Linked DNA regions of Arabidopsis thaliana. The protein of the gene in region 4 purifies or fractionates together with the protein of the main gene of each other region. This does not show direct contact. Each region holds a gene or a part of one and is shown on either strand. Other genes may lie near its edges. The genes, in order: PHB5, PHB3, PHB4 and VDAC3.

What was found.
Region 1: the proteins of VDAC3 (region 4) and PHB5 fractionate together in Arabidopsis thaliana (co-fractionation; one large-scale study listed by BioGRID). This does not show direct contact.
Region 2: the proteins of VDAC3 (region 4) and PHB3 fractionate together in Arabidopsis thaliana (co-fractionation; one large-scale study listed by BioGRID). This does not show direct contact.
Region 3: the proteins of VDAC3 (region 4) and PHB4 fractionate together in Arabidopsis thaliana (co-fractionation; one large-scale study listed by BioGRID). This does not show direct contact.

Annotation. Positions count from the first base shown.
Region 1 is NC_003076.8:4,611,307-4,614,792, forward strand, and holds PHB5 (prohibitin 5), read left to right. Parts: upstream 1-1,795; coding exon 1,796-2,083; intron 2,084-2,255; coding exon 2,256-2,717; downstream 2,718-3,486. Other genes in the region: AT5G14285 (DNA-binding storekeeper), read left to right, coding at 1-138; AT5G14290 (Mitochondrial ribosomal protein L37), read right to left, coding at 906-1,304.
Region 2 is NC_003076.8:16,314,302-16,319,533, forward strand, and holds PHB3 (prohibitin 3), read right to left. Parts: upstream 2,991-5,232; 5' UTR 2,321-2,990; coding exon 2,009-2,320; intron 1,810-2,008; coding exon 1,288-1,809; 3' UTR 1,270-1,287; intron 1,188-1,269; 3' UTR 549-1,187; downstream 1-548. Other genes in the region: G6PD6 (glucose-6-phosphate dehydrogenase 6), read left to right, coding at 88-255. UniProt on the Arabidopsis thaliana protein: Prohibitin probably acts as a holdase/unfoldase for the stabilization of newly synthesized mitochondrial proteins. Necessary for mitochondrial and cell metabolism and biogenesis.
Region 3 is NC_003074.8:10,074,863-10,079,319, forward strand, and holds PHB4 (prohibitin 4), read left to right. Parts: upstream 1-1,946; 5' UTR 1,947-2,041; coding exon 2,042-2,353; intron 2,354-2,661; coding exon 2,662-3,189; 3' UTR 3,190-3,201; exon of another isoform or gene 3,202-3,401; 3' UTR 3,402-3,746; downstream 3,747-4,457. Other genes in the region: AT3G27270 (TRAM, LAG1 and CLN8 (TLC) lipid-sensing domain containing protein), read left to right, coding at 772-844. UniProt on the Arabidopsis thaliana protein: Prohibitin probably acts as a holdase/unfoldase for the stabilization of newly synthesized mitochondrial proteins.
Region 4 is NC_003076.8:4,888,111-4,893,517, forward strand, and holds VDAC3 (voltage dependent anion channel 3), read right to left. Parts: upstream 3,494-5,407; 5' UTR 3,280-3,493; coding exon 3,231-3,279; intron 2,775-3,230; coding exon 2,707-2,774; intron 2,524-2,706; coding exon 2,413-2,523; intron 2,310-2,412; coding exon 2,223-2,309; intron 2,130-2,222; coding exon 1,921-2,129; intron 1,832-1,920; coding exon 1,531-1,831; 3' UTR 1,413-1,530; exon of another isoform or gene 1,183-1,412; intron 1,061-1,182; 3' UTR 854-1,060; downstream 1-853. Other genes in the region: AT5G15080 (Protein kinase superfamily protein), read left to right, coding at 1-445; PIN8 (Auxin efflux carrier family protein), read right to left, coding at 4,049-4,115, 4,217-4,293, 4,376-4,533, 4,620-4,705, 5,037-5,226, 5,302-5,407. UniProt on the Arabidopsis thaliana protein: Forms a channel through the mitochondrial outer membrane that allows diffusion of small hydrophilic molecules. The channel adopts an open conformation at low or zero membrane potential and a closed conformation at potentials above 30-40 mV.

The DNA.
Region 1 (3,486 bases), 280 kb from region 4:
AATTGGTTGTGGATTTCTTGGGCAATTGTTGTTGGAATTGCTATTACTGTTAGTATACTTTGGATTTGGAATCTCTGGATAGAATTGTTTAGTGAAAGGAAAGCTAACAAAATCAGAGTAGACAAGAAAATTAGATAGTTTCTTCTTTCTTCTCTAGATCATTGTTTGATCTTCCTTTTCATGTACTATATATAATATATATACCATTATTATTCTCACCTTTTAGAATTCCTCTAAATGATGTATGTTTTGGAATAATAGATTTGCTTTTGGGTAAGCAGTATGTGCAAAATGCACTTTTAATTCAACTCTGTATTGTTCAGAAGTTCTTCTCTTAAGAGTTTCTTCCATACACATATGTCTTGTCTCTCTGCTACACTTGGTTGCTCACATCTTGATTCTTGATATTGATGAGAAACGTTTTCTTTATGAAGTGTGCCATTCTTGGTGAGTTATATTTGGCTTTATAACTCTCTTTGTTTACGGCCAACACCAAGTCCCCTGAAACCAGCAACTGGTAAGCCATATATTCTTTTACTTGGAAGAATCAAAAGTTAGCTGGGGAAGTGTAAGAAATTACGAAACACAGAGATTCATATCTTCGATCATTGGATTGTGAACTTTTCATGTGTTGAAGAGGATAGGAAGAGAATTGGGGACTAAACATACCATCCAAGCTGAGACATGGTGTTAGGCAGTCTGTTGTGGAAAGCTGAATGATATACCATTTGGCCAATGAATAGCATAAAATACACAAATTTAACCAATTTACTGAGAAGAGCATGGAATTAGAGAAAAATCTTTTAAGATCAAATAATCCCAAAGATAATAAGGAAAATGAAGGGATTGCTCAAACAAGGGGAATTATAAGGGACACATACAACAAGTCATTGTTGAATCTCATTTCAGTTCTTGGCCTTGATAGAATGGTTCTCCTTGATTCTAGCTCTGGTATCCAGCTTCACAAAACGTTTAAGATCATCAAAACTAAGAGTCTCAACGTTCTTCCTTCTAAGTTCGCTAAGCGCCGGTCGCTTATCAAGCAGATGCCATAAATAATCAGGGTGATCTGAATTAGGCAAGATCTTAGGGTCCAATCCATCTTTCAGAGTATTAGCACTAACAACCATACTCGATTTGATCTCTTTGCTCAAGTTCGATGCTTTTGGTGCATCATTACCTCCATCTCCCCTCCCAACCTTCTTCGCTTTACCAGCAGCTGTAGCAAATGTTCTTTGGCACACAAATCGCATTACATCTTTGGATCTAGAAATGGAATCCCCAAACATTCGAATAAGGTTCATATCAACAACCTTATACCTGCAAATTCACAAAATAAAACTAAATAAATCTACACAATCCTATAATGTTCGTTCTCGGATTTAGATCAAGATTCGAGTTTTGTCGAAGATTTTTGGGTGAGGGTTTAACTCGCAAGATAGAGATAGGTAGCGAGTGCATCGCGGGAACTGGTAAAACTTATTAAAAAGTAACGGACCGGAAAATTAAAAGACCCGTCTAAAAGCCCACCAATAGTAATGCATACAAGTAACACGTGGCAGGTATGGTTGACCGAGTGAGTAACAGAACGTGAGAAAACCGACCCGCTAAATAAGAACCCGCCCAATATAATAAGCTTTCTCCTTAACTTCTGCCTCACGCAAAAAAAAAAACTTCCTATAAAACCTCATCTCCTGCGTTCTCTAACTACTTCTCACCTATCTGACAAGAAAAGAAACCCTAAACAACATAAAAAGAAACCTAAAATCCATACAGGAGACATTCAAAGCCAATCATGCCTTGGTCAAAGTTCACAAAGGTAGCTCTAGGTCTAGGAGCTGCCATAGCGGCTGTGAGATCAACAATGTTCACCGTTGATGGTGGCCAGAGAGCTGTTATGTTCCACCGATTCGAAGGGATTCTAGAAGAACCAGTAGGAGAAGGGACACATCGTAAGATTCCGTGGGTGCAAAAGCCGTATATCTTCGACATTCGGACCAAACCCTACAAAATCAATACCGACTCTGGAACTAAGGATCTTCAGATGGTCAACCTCACACTTCGTGTTATGTTTCGCCCTGATGTAAGTTCCCGCGAATATCCAAAAAATTTCACTAATAAGATTTTGTGATATATATGTAAAATAATATATAACTGTTTTCCGTGGGTTCGTGTTAGGTTTCGCGCCTCTCGTATATATACCAAAACTTAGGTCTCGACTATGGTGAAAAGGTCCTACCAGCGATCGGGACGAGGTGGTTAAAGCGGTGGTGGCTCAGTTCAACGCTGACGAGCTCTTAACAGAACGTCCACAGGTCTCAGCTCTTATACGCGAAACGTTGATCAAGCGAGCTAAGGAGTTCAACATTGTTCTCGATGACGTGTCGATCACTGGTCTCTCATACGGTAAAGAGTTCTCACTTGCGGTGGAGCGGAAGCAGGTGGCACAGCAAGAAGCTGAGCGGTCCAAGTTCGTAGTGGCAAAGGCTGATCAGGAGAGACGAGCGGCTGTGATTAGAGCAGAAGGAGAGAGCGAGGCGGCTCGGGTTATATCGAAAGCGACTGCAGGGGCTGGGATGGGGTTGATCAAGCTCAGAAGGGTCGAGGCGGCTAGAGAGGTTGCGATTACGCTCTCTAATTCTCCCAATGTCGTCTATTTGCCAAGTGGTGGGAATATGTTGTTTGCAATGAACGGTCCAAGCAAAGTTGTTGCTTGAATTAGTTGCAAAAATATGGTGTTCAATGGTTATATTGATTTGTGTGTTTTAAGATTTTCATTTTTTTATATAGTTTCCTAGTATTGGATCACCCTAGTATACTCCAGTTGAGACTGTTCTTGCGAGTCTGAGACTCGCACACATGACACATGACACATCTACTGTTAAGTCGACATTGACATCAAATTAAACAATCACTGTGCCAATCAAACTTATGCATAGACCTAGAGATAATTAAGTAGTCCAAGTTCAAAGGTTGATCTAACCTGGATCAGTGCCCTTGGTAGCTATGGCACATACTTCCTCACTAGGGAAAATGGGAGCTGATTATCCAGCAGCTTTCGATTAGATATCAACAAACAAAATGCAAATTAGGTTATCTTAGAAAGAAAAAAAAACAAGCTATTCATCGGATCACAAGTCACAAGTGTCACCTCGAAAGAAACTTGGGCCCATCTATATTATCTTATGGGCCTTATCGACCGATTCAAATATTGCAAATTAGTGTCGTTAACCTTTTTTGAAAACATACGGCCATTAGTGACAATTTAATTAATATTCTACAAATTCGAGCAGTGTCTTCTACATTTCTTTGTAAAGTCTTTGGTTTTTAATTTTAAGGTCAAGTTCACCATGAGCGACCAAAGTTTTGAATTTTTCAAGGTTTTTATTTTCATTTTATCGTTGTATGGAGAAAGTTTCTTATATCTTCATTTGAACATTGAATAGAATTATTAAACATTATAATTCAAGGTAGGATGGTCAAACA
Region 2 (5,232 bases), about 11 Mb from region 4:
TCTAACTATAGACACAATCCAGACACAAACTTTTGCATCATACAATTCAGGAGCTAACATTTGTATCCATTTTGATGATTATTACAGGTTGCGTGGGAGATCTTCACGCCGCTACTCCACAGGATCGACAAAGGAGAAGTAAAGTCAATCCCATACAAACCAGGAAGCCGAGGACCGAAAGAAGCTGATCAGCTACTAGAGAAAGCTGGTTATCTTCAGACTCACGGCTATATCTGGATCCCTCCTACACTATAAAACCCTACATATATATAAATACACAATACATGTATCTACATGTATATGTATAAATTATGCTGAATAGTCCCTCCTCGAGTTTGGTGTTTGTACGTGAAACTTGCTACTTCAGCTGTTCACTTTGACACTTCCTTTGGTCTTGTATTTGCGGCTTTGTAGAAATAAAAATAAAAATCTTACCAATACCATAAATGAATTTAGCTTTTGTTGTGCTCGTTAAATGAATGAAATTGACGATGAGATAGAAAAAATTGCCAAAAAATGTAGAGTTTGTTGATATACACACATAAGTTCAATCTAGAGGTGGTTGAAACACACATTAAGTTCCATCTAGAGTTTGTTGACACAGACACATAAGTTGAGTCTAGGAACCGACGCCGTCTTTACATAGTCATCATTATCATTAGATGACCAAAAAAAAAAAAACTAAAACCGATGGATAAAATGGATCTCGATAGAAAAGGCTATCTTTCATGATTTCTCTTCTTTATTTGCTTTGTTTCTGAACTTGCTCTGTTTATGCAAAAACAATTGAATGTCCATACAGATCGAAATTTGACGTAGACTATCGACAGTTTATGCAAAATAGGTACCATCTAGATAATCCAGATGTGACCATAGTTTATCCGCATAGAACAACACTCCTAGGTACCATCTGTATTTTCTTTTCTCACGCATGTGTAACAAACAAATTACTTACAGTTCAGCCAAAATCATTTATTTGTTGAGAATTAGATAAACATGATGCTGAAAACAAAGATTCTTCAGGTAGAGTAAATTTTGCCGAGATTCAGAACACAATAATGACAACTCAAACAACTAGTTTCTTTTTCTTCTTCAGAGTTCATCAAAACAAAAGAGCATTTCACCTTTTTGATTCAATCAGATTCACAACTTGATCATTAAAATATCGCAAAATGCTCCCAAACAACCTGCACATAACCATAATACAAAGCCTTCAGACAAATCACAAAACGACTTAATTCTATGGATTCAGATGAAGCTTTTACATACCATCATATCTGATCAAGATCAACGGTTCAGGGCAAAGAGCATGCTCTGGCCACCGGGTAAGTAGGCCACATTAGGAGACCTAGCAAGTGTAGACGCAATCTCCCTTGAAGCTTCAATCCTCCTAAGCTCGATAAGTCCCATACCAGCTTTAGCCGTAGCATCAGAAATCAACTGAGCAGCTTCACTTTCACCTTCAGCTCTTATAACCGCAGCTCTCCTCTCTTGATCAGCCTTCATCACAACAAACTTAGACCTCTCTGCCTCTTGCTGAGCCACTTGTTTCTGCTCAACAGCCCTTGAAAACTCCACACCATAGGACAAATGCGTGATAGCTACATCATCAAGCACAATGTTGAAGTCCTTCGCACGGGTGATTAGTGACTCCCGAACAAGTGCTGAGACGTGAGGACGCTCAGTGAGAAGCTGGTCAGCGTTGAACTGTGCAACCACAGCTTTCAAAACCTCATTTCCAATCGAAGGAAGAACCTTCTCGTCATACTCTAGACCCAAAGTTTGGAAGATGTACGGGAGACGCGACACCTTCACAACAATTCACATCACATAAACACACCAAATTAATAACGATTCTACAATACCTAGTCCTCGAAACAAATTTTGAAAATCATAGATCATCAAAACCCTAAACCCTAAATCCAATTCGCAAATGAATCTGAAAAACCTCAATTCAGAGAAATCAAACGAGTCTAGATCAAAAATGAAGAACCGTTATGCGTTATACCTCAGGACGAGAGAGAACACGAAGAGTGAGATTAACCATCTGGAGATCCTTAGTACCAGAGATTGAAGAGAACGTGTGAGGCTTCGTGCGGATATCGAAGATGTGAGGCCTCTGAAGAATCGGGATCAAGAAATGAGTCCCTTCACCCACAGTCTGATCCATCACTCCCCTGAATCGATCGAAGATAACAGCTCTTTCTCCGCCGTCAACGGTGAAAAGCGATGTATTCAGCACCGTCGCCGCCGTTCCAAGACCGAAAGCAGCCTTCGCCAAATTGGAAAGGAACGAAACAGCCGCTTGTTGGCTTCCCATTTTTGCGTGTGGATTATCTTGAATCGAGAGAGAAGAAGAAGGAAGAAGAGATTTGAGACGACGAGAGAGGAAAGAGTTTCTGCTAGGGTTTATGATATGTTTCTGGAACCTACCACGGGAAATGATTTAATGGGCCAAGTAACTTAGCCCAATATTATTATGTGACTATATAAGCCTATTAAGAACTAAATTCAATAATGGGTTTCATGACATTGGGCTGAAAACAGCTTAACGGTTACAGAGTATGTTTAATATCTTTTTGTCTCATAAATTATGTTTCTCTCAATTTTTTTTATTTTTTTTTTACTGAAAGATAGATTATAGATAGAGTTTACAAAGTTAAAGCTGACGATTAACAAGATAATCTCAAAAACTAAGTCGACGGATAACAAAAATCCTCGGAGACTAAAGCCCAAAAGTATGGGAAGCTAACAAACATTACTTTAAATGCATAAGAAAATAGAAACTGAACCATGGAAAATCAAAAACTATAACCAGAATCTAGCACATGAGACATTGCCCACCATCAATCCAAGATAAAGAAAAGCTTGCAGAAATGGCTAAACGACGGGGAAATTCTAATCCACAGCATCAAGATAGCAGCTCTTCTTATAACAAATGAAGACTACCTCACAGTTCAAAAACAGCATCCCAACCAGCAAGAAGAAACCAAATATAAAACAGCAAAATCGAGGCAATGAAAACCAAGATCGGTCAACGCCAATAGTTTATCTCAATTTGTTTAATCAAATAAAAATTGAAGAATATACCTACTTGGACATTTGTATGGTGTTAAGGGCCTACTATAAAAGTATTAGATTAGTACAAGCCAACGGTAGTGAACAAAAATATTCTTCGAGCTACTTGACAAACACGAAGTTGAATAAGGATAACTACTTTTTCGTATAAGAAAAATATTTACATGTGAGCATGATTAATCCTTTTCAAATATAACGGCAGGGGACGTTGTTGTTGAGTTTTTCCAGTATAAAAAGTGTTTTTTTTTCCTTAAAAGAAAAGTTGTGAAACAATGATATCTATTTTTGAAAACTTTTTGTGACTATTTTTTGACCAACAAACAGTATACGCGAATACTTTTCTATTCGGTTAAGTGGGATTTGAAGACAGATGTACACGAGTATTAAAACTGAATCTGAAAGCATGTAAATCTCCAAATATTTTATCCGTAAAATTGTTATGTATCTTCGACCAAAAAAATATAGAGATATTATGTATCACTTAATTAATATGACTCAATTAAGTCGTCTCGAATACTAAGAAAATTATGGAGTTTTACTTGGAAGGTCACACAGTGACCTCACCACGTTATCGAAAATGTCAAATGTTTCGGTGTCGAATCTTATACAGGTTTGAAAATAACCTTTAAAATAGATTTATATTACAGAAAAGTCCTTCAATATTGATTTTCAATTAAAATATTGCAGAGAAATCTTTAATTTCAAAAACTAAACGCCAACTTCAAAGATTGAGCTAAATTCGATTCTTTCAACATTTTGACTCCAACCGGATATATATGTAGTCATCAATATTATCGAAACAGGTAAAAGAAACAACCCAAGTGAAGGAAACATGAATCTTTGATAACCAATTAGAGTGAGAAGTGTATAATTGTAAAATAAACAAACTGAAACTAATATTAATATATATATATATAATTATATATATACTACTACTACTATACTAGGTTATTTTGTCAAATATATATATATGGTACATGACAACAATAATAAGAAACAATTTACACTTTTGTGTTTGCTCATCAAGAAATTTGGAACAAAGTCCAACTAATCTTGGGATAGATCGACCAAAACAAAACGTTCACTTGGTTTTTAATCGGTCAGAAAGAATATGTTTAGGCTAAACATTGAATCGAATTATCATCTGACCACCAATGGTAGATCAATAAAAAGTATTGATGTGTTTTTATCTAGCTAGTGAAAAAATTTTAGAATTGCCATTTACTTAAATATGAGACTCATTACATATAATGCAAATATTCTTTAGTCTAAGCTATAATGGATGCTCATTTGTTGTTTAGTGCACATAATTTTCCTCCACCAATGGCCAGTATTTGTTTACAAACTAGTATAAGATAATGTAAGCTAATTATCACATACATGATGTCACGTTGATACACTAAATTATAAAAATTATAATTTAGTGTCAAAGTGCAGATCGAAACTATAGCTAATTGGTGGTGTTGAAATTATTCATACCTTAGTAATAATTATAAAATCAATTGATTGTAATCTAATAGTTTCGTTGACCATATACAACGAAGATGAAATAGATTGACGAGTAAATAAAAATAAATTTGCAATCTGGTGGAGATAAATTTCATCCTTAACCTACAACACTAGGTGACACGTAACAATTAAACCGAGTCAACTGATTATTTCTTTGAAGAAAACTTCCTCTCGTGTACAGCTTCCGAGATGCTTCACTGGAGGCATTAACTACTTTGATCATTTGATTTTTGTTTGCACAATCACTAAATGCAGATACAAACATGCCCGCGCTGAACTATATTACATAAGCATGTATCTCTCATTCGATGCGGAGATACAGACGGAACACTCGAGTTGCCAATTGCGGTTTAGTCTACACGCTTCTATTGAAATAAACATAACAAGTCTAAGATTATGAGCTTACGACATTGGACAACATCCATATAAAACTCCTGTAAACTGTAATTAGGTTATTTAAACCAGTAATTCATATATATAGGATATTTAGTGAGTTGCTTCTTTGAACAACGTATCTCTTTTTTTATTTTTGTCTACTATATTTTCATAAAGTTTTACATGAGATAGATTCATCTTGCGTTTAATCTATTTATATGGTATTAGTATTTATACGCTAATTTGTTCGTCTATTTTTCTCTTTTTTGG
Region 3 (4,457 bases), on a different chromosome or scaffold from region 4:
TCATTTATTTTTTCTTGAGCAAAATAAGAGAGGAAGTAAGATAGATTAAAATTTAAACAACCACAAGATAAACATGCTTTAAGATTCTAGTTAAGAGATGGATAATTGAACGAATCCAAACCAATTGGAGGGGAATGGTCTGTTAGATTTCACATGTTAGAGGTTCCTCCATGAAGTCTAGAGTTAGACTCTTTCGAAATCTCACAAAATGTAGCTTGAAGGATGAGTTTGACATCAACAATCTGTTGGTCCAATAGTAAATCTCCCAGATGGAGGTGTTGAGTTCAAAGCATGTTGGGAGGGATTTTTTCTCCTAAAAAGATGAATTTAACTTGGTGTAGGTCTCGCCAGGCTGACCTCGCCCATATTTACAAATTACAATATCATCAAAACCCGAAGGAGTAAACAAAGAGTGGTGATTAAAGAATGAAGTGTCATTTTAAATAGCTCCCACTTGTTTTTCTCTCGATCTCAATCTGACAGAAACTGATATATTCCACTGATCTTCATCGATTCATCAAAGTTTTAGATTTTAATTCAGATTTCATCTTAAGGGAGGGTATTACGAGTATAGGAATGTGATTATCATATTAATGAAAGTTGAGGTTTTAAAAATAGCTTAACCAAACAAATGTAATCTTGCCAAAAAGATATAAAATGAGTCCATCAACAAAATTTATCGGAGTTACAAGATCATCAGATTCCGAAAAGCTTTTCTGTTTATGCGAGCGGTAATAGTGTTTTTTGATGTCTCCGTCGATTTCTTTGAAGGTGGCCAAAGGCGAAACGGAGACACTATTGTGCAACAAGTTGTTCATTTGTTTCCAAACATGGTAAGCTGTAGCATGAGCAACTCCTACTAATTTCCAAAGAATTGTGGGAGCAGTCTCTGTTTTTAGCTTAGTCCAAGCCAGAATTGAAATCCAAGTAATAAAGATATAAGGCGATATCGTTAATCCTCTTCTGGTGTTTTCTGTATGTAAAACGGCGTCTTTCTTTTGATTCGAAACGGAGGAGTTTGTGAAGGGTAACAAGACGGAATGGTTCTTTATATCTGGGAGGACCAAGATGGGGAAATGTGGAAAAAGAATGAATCGTAGAGACAATGGAGGATACTGGAGGGTAGTATCATCTCTGCCAAGAAGATTCATGCTGGAGAAGCAGGCCTTGTCGGCTACAAATACTCACTAGAGTACTACATTGGAAAACAACCAAAATGGCGTAAAAGAGGGTTGGTTGATGCATGAACACTGGCTTAAGTCTTCTGATGATATTAATAACTACGAGCTGGTAAGAGTATATATGTACGTTTACTTACTTGGTTTCCAAGTTATTGAGACTCTTGAGTTTTGGTTTTTATTGTGACGACTTCTGTTGTTTTGTTTGAGTAGGGCAATTATGCTATGTGCAAGATCTATCTGAGTCCACACGCAGCAAAGAAGAAGAAAACACACGATGAAGAGATCGACGATTTAGTTCAATTTGTGGAAGCAGCCTTAGATGTTTCTTTTTATCTACTTTTGCTGTCCAAAGTCAGAGGTCTCATTGTCTTTATATAGAATTTCTTGTATATAACATTTTCCACTGGTTGTATAGAAAAATCAATTTTAGTCTTTTGTGCTTATTCACTCTAATCAAAATCTCTAATCAAGGTGAAGGAGGAGGTGGAGGAAGAACATTTTCATCTTGCTCTCTAAGAAGATCCAAAATCTCTGCAGGGTTGTTATCAACACGCTCTTCGTCTCTGTCTTCCTCTCCGGATTTAGTTTCGTTTATGGGCAAATAATCAAATTCGGGTTTAATCTTCCAAACCGTTGTTTCCTTTTATATTACATCATTTCCTTTTCCTTTTTTATTATTGGGCCGAAGTAGTTTATATTATTAATGGGCTTTAAACAAGCCCATATTCAATAATTGTCGGCCAAAAAAAACCCTCTCTTCCAAGTTCCAAAATCATTTCATAAACCCTAACAAACCCCTAAATCTTTCCTTTCTCAATTCTCTCCTTCGAAGCTTTTTTCTTGTGAGGTCAGAAAAGAAAATGGGAAGTCAACAAGTAGCGATTTCGTTTCTGACGAACTTGGCGAAGGCGGCGTTTGGGTTAGGTGTGGCGGCGACGGCACTAAACTCGTCGCTCTACACTGTTGATGGTGGCGAGAGAGCTGTTTTGTTCGATCGATTCAGGGGAGTGTTGGATCAGACCGTCGGCGAAGGGACTCATTTCTTGATCCCGTATCTCCAGACGCCGCACATATACGATATTCGTACGAAACCTCACACTTTCTCCTCCAAATCTGGTACTAAGGATCTTCAGATGGTTAATCTCACCCTTCGTGTTCTCTTTCGCCCTGAGGTAATTTCGATTTTAGCAACAATCAATTTCTCGATTCTGTGTTTGATTTTGTATACATTGGTTGTTTACAAGATCGAGGGTTTAGGATGATCGTGTTCGTTCGATTTAGCAATCATTTATCGATTCTGTGTTTGATTTCGTGGAATTTGAAGTTTGTGTACAAGATCTAGAGTTGAAGATAATCCTTATGTGTAATTTGGTTTCTTCGATGAATGTTACTCTTATTATAGAAGCTTTTGGTGCATATCTATGCTGGCTTCGATTGTTTGAGGGATTGAATAAGTTGTTGTGGTTATTTTACTGTGAAGGTTTCGCGTCTCCCGTACATTTTCCAAACATTGGGTCTTGAATACGATGAGAAGGTTCTTCCATCGATTGGAAATGAGGTCTTGAAAGCTGTGGTTGCTAATTTCAATGCTGATCAGCTCCTCACTGAGCGTCCTCAAGTATCAGCACTTGTTCGTGATGCTCTTATCAAGCGTGCCAGGGAATTTAACATTGAGCTCGACGACATAGCCATTACTCACTTATCGTACGGTGCTGAGTTCTCGAGGGCAGTGGAGGCGAAGCAAGTGGCTCAGCAGGAAGCTGAAAGGTCAAAGTTTGTGGTGATGAAGGCTGATCAAGAGAGGAGAGCTGCGGTTATAAGAGCAGAAGGTGAGAGTGAAGCTGCTCAGTTGATATCAGATGCAACAGCTAAAGCAGGAATGGGACTAATTGAGCTTAGGAGGATTGAAGCTTCAAGGGAGGTTGCGGCTACTCTGGCTAGGTCTCCGAACGTGGCTTACTTACCTGGTGGACAAAGCATGCTCTTTAATCTGAACCCTGGTCGTTGAGCTATAACATTGGTATGCTCTTTTACTTCTTTGAATAATGAATGAAAAATGGATTTGGACTTAAGATTCCCATTTAAAGGCATTAAGGTTATTCGGTTTGGTTGAACTAAGAGTGGTTATGGTTTGGTATAAACTGTTTGGTTTGATAGTAGAGTATGGTTTAGGTTTGTGGAATGGTGTGGTTTACTTGTTTGGCCTTGTTGTATTTGCAGGTGGGAAGAGGAGCTTCAGTGGAGACAAAACGACGGAGCTGTGAAGTTTATTAACGTTGATGCTCTTTTATTTCTGATGAACACGATGTGAAAAAAGATAATTGTTTTGAGCCGTTCTATCTTTTCTGACTCTAGAAGTAAAGACTATGCCATTGTTGTCGAAACCCGATCATTCCAATGAAAGGCTTCACCAAAAAATCTACCATAACAATAGTCGAAATTTGTATTGTCAAAAACAATTTCCAACACCAAGGTTGTTGTACTTGTATTATTTAAAATATAAATTAAAACATGGTAAATAAATTAAATAAAACTTTTTTATGTGGTCACTTTGGTGGCTTCGGTACATGCGGTGGCCTCTTGTGGTGGGGTAGACAAACTCTAAGTATAGTGCATTCACAAACTTTAACTTTTCCCTTCAAATTACAATTTGCTCCACCATAACCTTCGTTGTTACAACTCGTTCGGCACCTCCTAGCACCGTCTACCTTATTACACGTCTCTGGCGGTGCTTTGCTTGGATAATCATCACACAATTCCCAATTCATTGCTTTTCCTAATACAATAATTCGATCAATTACAAGTATTTATATCGTATTGATTATATATGCATATTTTTGTTTTTTTTCAATGAAAATATATTTGGTAGAAGATTTAATATTATTTACGATTTTATCTCCTTGTAGTGATTTATTTTACAGCTAAATTACAATTTTGACAAATTTCCTTAATTTTTTTTTTAAATGAGTATAAGAAGTTCCATTTTTTCAATATTTGTATATCTTGTAATTTATAAACCAAAAGTTTAACCGCAAATAACACCTTTTTTTTTTGTTGCATTAAGCATCTATCATTATAAATCAAACTTTTAGACATTTTGTTTTTCCTTTTATAAGTTTTTATTTTTCTTTGTTAATAGAGTGTTTTATGAATAATAAATCTAAGTGTCATATTGCTATATATCAGGAATTATTATTTCTAAAAATAGAAGAAGAAATGAGAGATAATCCGTAAAAAATGCCTATGAAATTGTTTAATGAAAAGAAACATTCATTA
Region 4 (5,407 bases):
GACTGGACGACGATCTATGGACAAAAACCGCCCAAATGGTGAGCACAACTTAGTGGAATGGGCAAGACCGCATCTTCTTGACAAGAGAAGGTTTTACCGGTTACTTGATCCGAGGCTTGAGGGCCATTTTTCAATCAAAGGTGCTCAAAAAGTGACTCAGCTTGCTGCACAATGTCTTAGCCGTGACCCCAAGATTAGGCCAAAGATGAGTGATGTTGTGGAAGCACTTAAACCACTTCCGCATCTGAAAGACATGGCAAGCTCTTCTTACTACTTCCAGACAATGCAAGCTGAACGTTTGAAAAATGGGTCAGGTCGATCCCAAGGATTTGGATCAAGAAACGGGCAACACCAACCCGTGTTTCGAACACTGTCTAGTCCTCATGGTTCTTCGCCTTATCGACATCAGATTCCTTCGCCAAAGCCTAAAGGAGCAACTACATAGCTCTTACGTGGTGGAAATAGGCCACAAACGAACAGAGCTAGAAGGCTCAAGCTTTTATCGTCGTTTTTAAGCAACAAGGAGATATTTTTAAACAACGTTAGGGTAACTCTTTAATTGATTAATAATGTACGATGGAGAAGGGTAAATCCAAATGGAAAAAAAAAAAACTGATTTTGTCTTCCATTGCTGAAAGCATAGAAAAGTTATAAATTGAAAACATTTTTGATGCTCTTTATAAATTGAAAACACCAAGTATCTACCATTTTCAAACGCAAAAGCCAGTATCCCGGAAACAGAGGTATCGTGTTTGTTCATCTACTTCTGGTGGTCAGAATGATAGATTCAAAGTAGAGTACACTCCTTGGCTTATCGTTGGGTTGGGCAATCCAGGAAACAAGTATCATGGAACAAGACACAATCTTTTTCTTTTACTGATTTGCTGGATTTGATCTCGGCAATGCTACAACTTTGTGTTGTTTTCAGGTTGGTTTCGAGATGATCGATGTGTTGGCTCGAAAAGAAGGGGTTTTGATGAACACGATACAGTCCAAAGCTCTAATCGGAATAGGTTCTACTTCTCTTGCTTTTGGTTCTTTGGTTTGAAGAATAATAAAACTGATGACTTTTTGGTTCTATGTAAGAATCAGTACAGGTGCTATTGAAGGTGTACCTATCTTGTTGGCTAAACCTCAGATAAAAATCTGACCAACTAGACAAAATTAATTAGACATGTAAGAAGAACCTCATAGAAAAATCCACTAAGGGAACTCCAAATGGAACAAAGTATAGCAGAGGCAGAAAATAAAAGAGAGAACCAAGTAAAAGATATGGAACAGAGTATTGTAGCAGAGGCGGAAAATAAAAGAGAGAGAGCCAAGTAAAACGATCTTAATGGTTCTTTATCGTCAAAGACGATCCTTTCAATAGTATTTTTCTCTTTTATTTTCTACAAATCCCAACACCGAACAAAAAAAACAAATGAAAGATTGTTTAGCAAACCAGACAGCGATTTGTCCAAAGATTTGAAGACGAAAAAGAAATAACACCTATTCTACCCACTTCAGGGCCCATTTGGTGGTATCTTCTCAGGGCTTGAGAGCGAGAGCAATCCCAACCTTGGCACTCTTATCGATCGCCTTAGAATCAACCTCTCCAGAAACGGTGAAGAACGACTTTGGACGCCACTCATGTTGGATCAGAGCGTTAGCCACACCAGCATTGTTCACTCTTGCCTTCACTGTGGTCAATGGGTCAAGCGCGTGTTGAGTTCCGACAGTGATGGCGTTCTCTTTGGTCGTGAAGTTGTGGCTAATCTCAGCTCCAACCACAGTCGACGGGCTCACAATCTGGTAGTAGGATGCATTCAATTTCTCACCTTTGTCATTCCTGAAAAAAAACAGTTTAAGAAACAACTCTTTTAAAACCAGCAGCATTAAAATCTCAAGTCATCATTTCATATGGAGGGAGGCACTTACAGAATGAGGGAAGCAGTCAAATCATCCTTGGTGAAGTTGAAACCAGCATTGAAATGTTTGAAGTTGCCAGATTCGGTGTTATAGGCCACATCAGTACCAAGAGACAAACCATTGGTTCCAACCACACCGGAGAAGTTGACAATCGGGGTAGCTGTGAATCCAACGCTGGTAGAGATACCAGCATAGTCATGGAAATACTGAACCTCAGCCTGCTCAGAAAACAACAAATAATGGTTATCTCCAACATACCAACCTTTAAAAAAACGGAACAGAAAGAAAAGAAAGCTGGTGGAGTTATATACCTTTCCAGATTTGTGATCGGGCAACTTAGCCTGAACAATAACTTTCAGTCCAGGGGCAGGCTCATCAAAGGTAAGAGTGGTCAAAAGCTGAAATTATTCACACACAAAAAAAAATCAATTGAATACTCCAGCAGCAATCGGCAACATCATATATCTACTAGAAACAGCTAAAGCTAAAAAGTCTACTTACAGAAGAATCAGTGGAAACTTTGACATCAGCAGTGAAGTTGTTGTTCTTCACTTGGGTAGCAACATCACCCAAAAACAAGCTTCCTTTGTTTGTTCCCGTTGTAGTGATCGCCTACAAATTTATCACCATTCGACACAAGAAAGAGTCAAGTGAGAGTACACATGAAAACAAACTGTACAACCAAATTTGACATAACAGAAAACTAGACAAATCTCAATTTTATCACTAACAATAAACCCATCGCACCAACAAAATAGAGAATTGACAGAAATAAAAACAATAATAAAAACTTACAACACCAGTTGAAGAGTAAGTGGTGACACTGAATTTCTGGTCTCCTTGGTAATCCCTGTACAGAAGATCTACAATAGCATTCAAAAACCTTCAGATTCAACTCAAATAGAAAAGTTCAACACGAGACAACTACTCTGTATCCTTGATAGACATTTTCCAGATCCAAGATAAAAAATTTCAAAACCAGCTAATCAACGAGTGACCCAAAAATTGAAACCCAGAGAACCAGTCTTGTTATTCTATCTATACAGATAAACGAAACGGATAGCATAAATCTGACGGAAACGAACACAGATATTATCAATCAGCTCACAAAACACGAATATTTAACTTTTTATGCATCTATTCAAATTTCAACGACCTAAGCGTGACCGATAGAAATCGGAATAAAACCAGGAATGAGAAACCCTAACCGATTCAATGAATATCAACCTAAACCCAGATCAGAAAAGAGCTCAAATGTTTACGAAATGTCAACAACAGTCACATTCGCGTCACCATAGAGAAAGAGAGAGAGATCGTACCTCTGGCCTTTTTGCCGATTTCAGTGTAGAGTCCTGGACCTTTAACCATGATTGCCTCTGGAAAAATCGAAGAAGCTTTGAAAGATTCCGAAGTCGAGAAGAAGAGTAATGGAGGATTCTGGAGAAAATGAGGTGTGGTGTTTGTGTATATAAGGGGAAGAAGAAAGGGTAACCCTAAATTAATTTATATTATAATATTGTATTTCCCTGCTTATCAAGTAAAAATATCTCAGCCGTTAGATTAATATGACATGAGTCGGTGTCCCTCTTTATCAACCGTTGATTATATATTCCCCTCTCTCCAAGGCATTTTTTTTATGTTTTTTATTTGATTTTCGTATTCTTATTTTATTTTTTTATGGCTTTTTTCCATTTTTCATTGCGTGGCAAGCAAAGCAGGCCGTGTACTCTCTAGTTTTCTTCATCCCCAAAATTTATTTATTTTTATATAATTTTTTTTTTGTTGTTGAGTCTTTGACAATGTCTATTTATTTTCTTAGAGTTAACCATCTGAATTGTTCTTATTAATGTGATATTTAAATTTTCTTAAATGGTGTTCTTTTATATTTACTCCTATATAGTATCTATTATCCTATTTTTTAAAAAGAATAAGTCAAAATTTTGATTTTACTAGTTGACATGTTTTTTTCTAATTTAATATCAGGAGAAAAATGATTTACAATAATTAAAGAGAATGGTTGACATTATTAGCTTTATAATTTCAACATCTAAAAAACTATGACTAAATTAAATACCATATAAAATCCAAAATTAAGAGCCTACGTATAAAACATGTTTTTTTTTTGAACATGTCATATTCATAGGTCCAATAGAAAATAATATGCCAAAGTTGTTGGTAAGGCAATTAGCATTCCAAATATCACCCTGAAAAAGCAAAACAATAAAAACCACAAAAATAAATTTCAAAAAAATTGTAATAAGAAGAAGGAAAAAAAAAAATCAAATCAAGAAATATATTTATTTACCCAGTACTAATGATCTCCGGGTGAAGATTATACTCTTTTGCAAAAACAAATGGCACTACTCCTTGAGGCAATGCTGCCTACAACACAATAAATCAATCGACAAAAACATATATATGACAGATTTTATTATTAACGGATTATTAATTTTAATATTTTCACCTGTAATATTGCTACTTTGAAGAGAGTACTTTTTAATCTGATGCAATACGCAGAAGCAATCATAAGAGCAGGTCCTAATACGAACTTGAGCAGCATTGTTATAATCGCCATTTTTGTACCACATGCTATGATACTACTTTGTGATGCCATGAACAGACCTGTTTCATTTTTTGTTAAATTAAATTTAATTTCCAATCATGAAAGTTTAGTTTTTTTTTTTTTTTTGTATAGATATATAGCTTACCTAAGCTGAACATGGCCATTCCTAAGCCTCCATCAGATAATAAATGTATTGATTTATCAATCATCTCAGGCAAATTCCATCCCAATCTATTGGAGAAAATAAATAAAAACATGAGTAACATTTGATACAAACTATTAAAAAAAGAAGCTAATCTTAATAGTTGGGAATATCACTTGACTATCACTTTTCGATTTTAAAATATTAAAAAAAATGAATTTGTAGATGCGAAAAATGATCAAACAGAAAGCTTAAAATAGGGGAAACTCACTACTAAATTATCGCTTTTCTTTTTGAAAAAGAGAAAAGGAAGTGTTTGAATATGTAAGATGATAAAGATTGAATCTTTAGATGTGTAAGATGATTTATCACAAAAGATATGATTGCAGTGTTAAATATAAGAGAGTTTTGTTTTCACACCTGAAATGTAAAGTAGCCCAAATGATTCCGATCAATGTTGCGTATGTATTTGGATTGATTATAAGCTTTCTCCAAGCCTTCAATAGAATCTTCATAGTTCCAACAGATCTTGTTCTCACTATTGCTACTTCTTCTTCGTCCTCTTCTTCTTTTGGCTCGTCCTCTATATTAGCCTCTTCCTGGTCATTGCCTTGTTTTACAAGAAACCAAGATTTAATTAGGGTAAATCATTTTTTATCGAAAAAACGGAATGATTTTTAGTTACCTGTATGTTCTAGGGAAGCTCCAGAAGATGGTAACGCCCTTGCGGCGTTAAGCTCGAACAAAAAGAGCAAGATGGTGTACCAAATCAAGCTTTGCAAGACAACAAT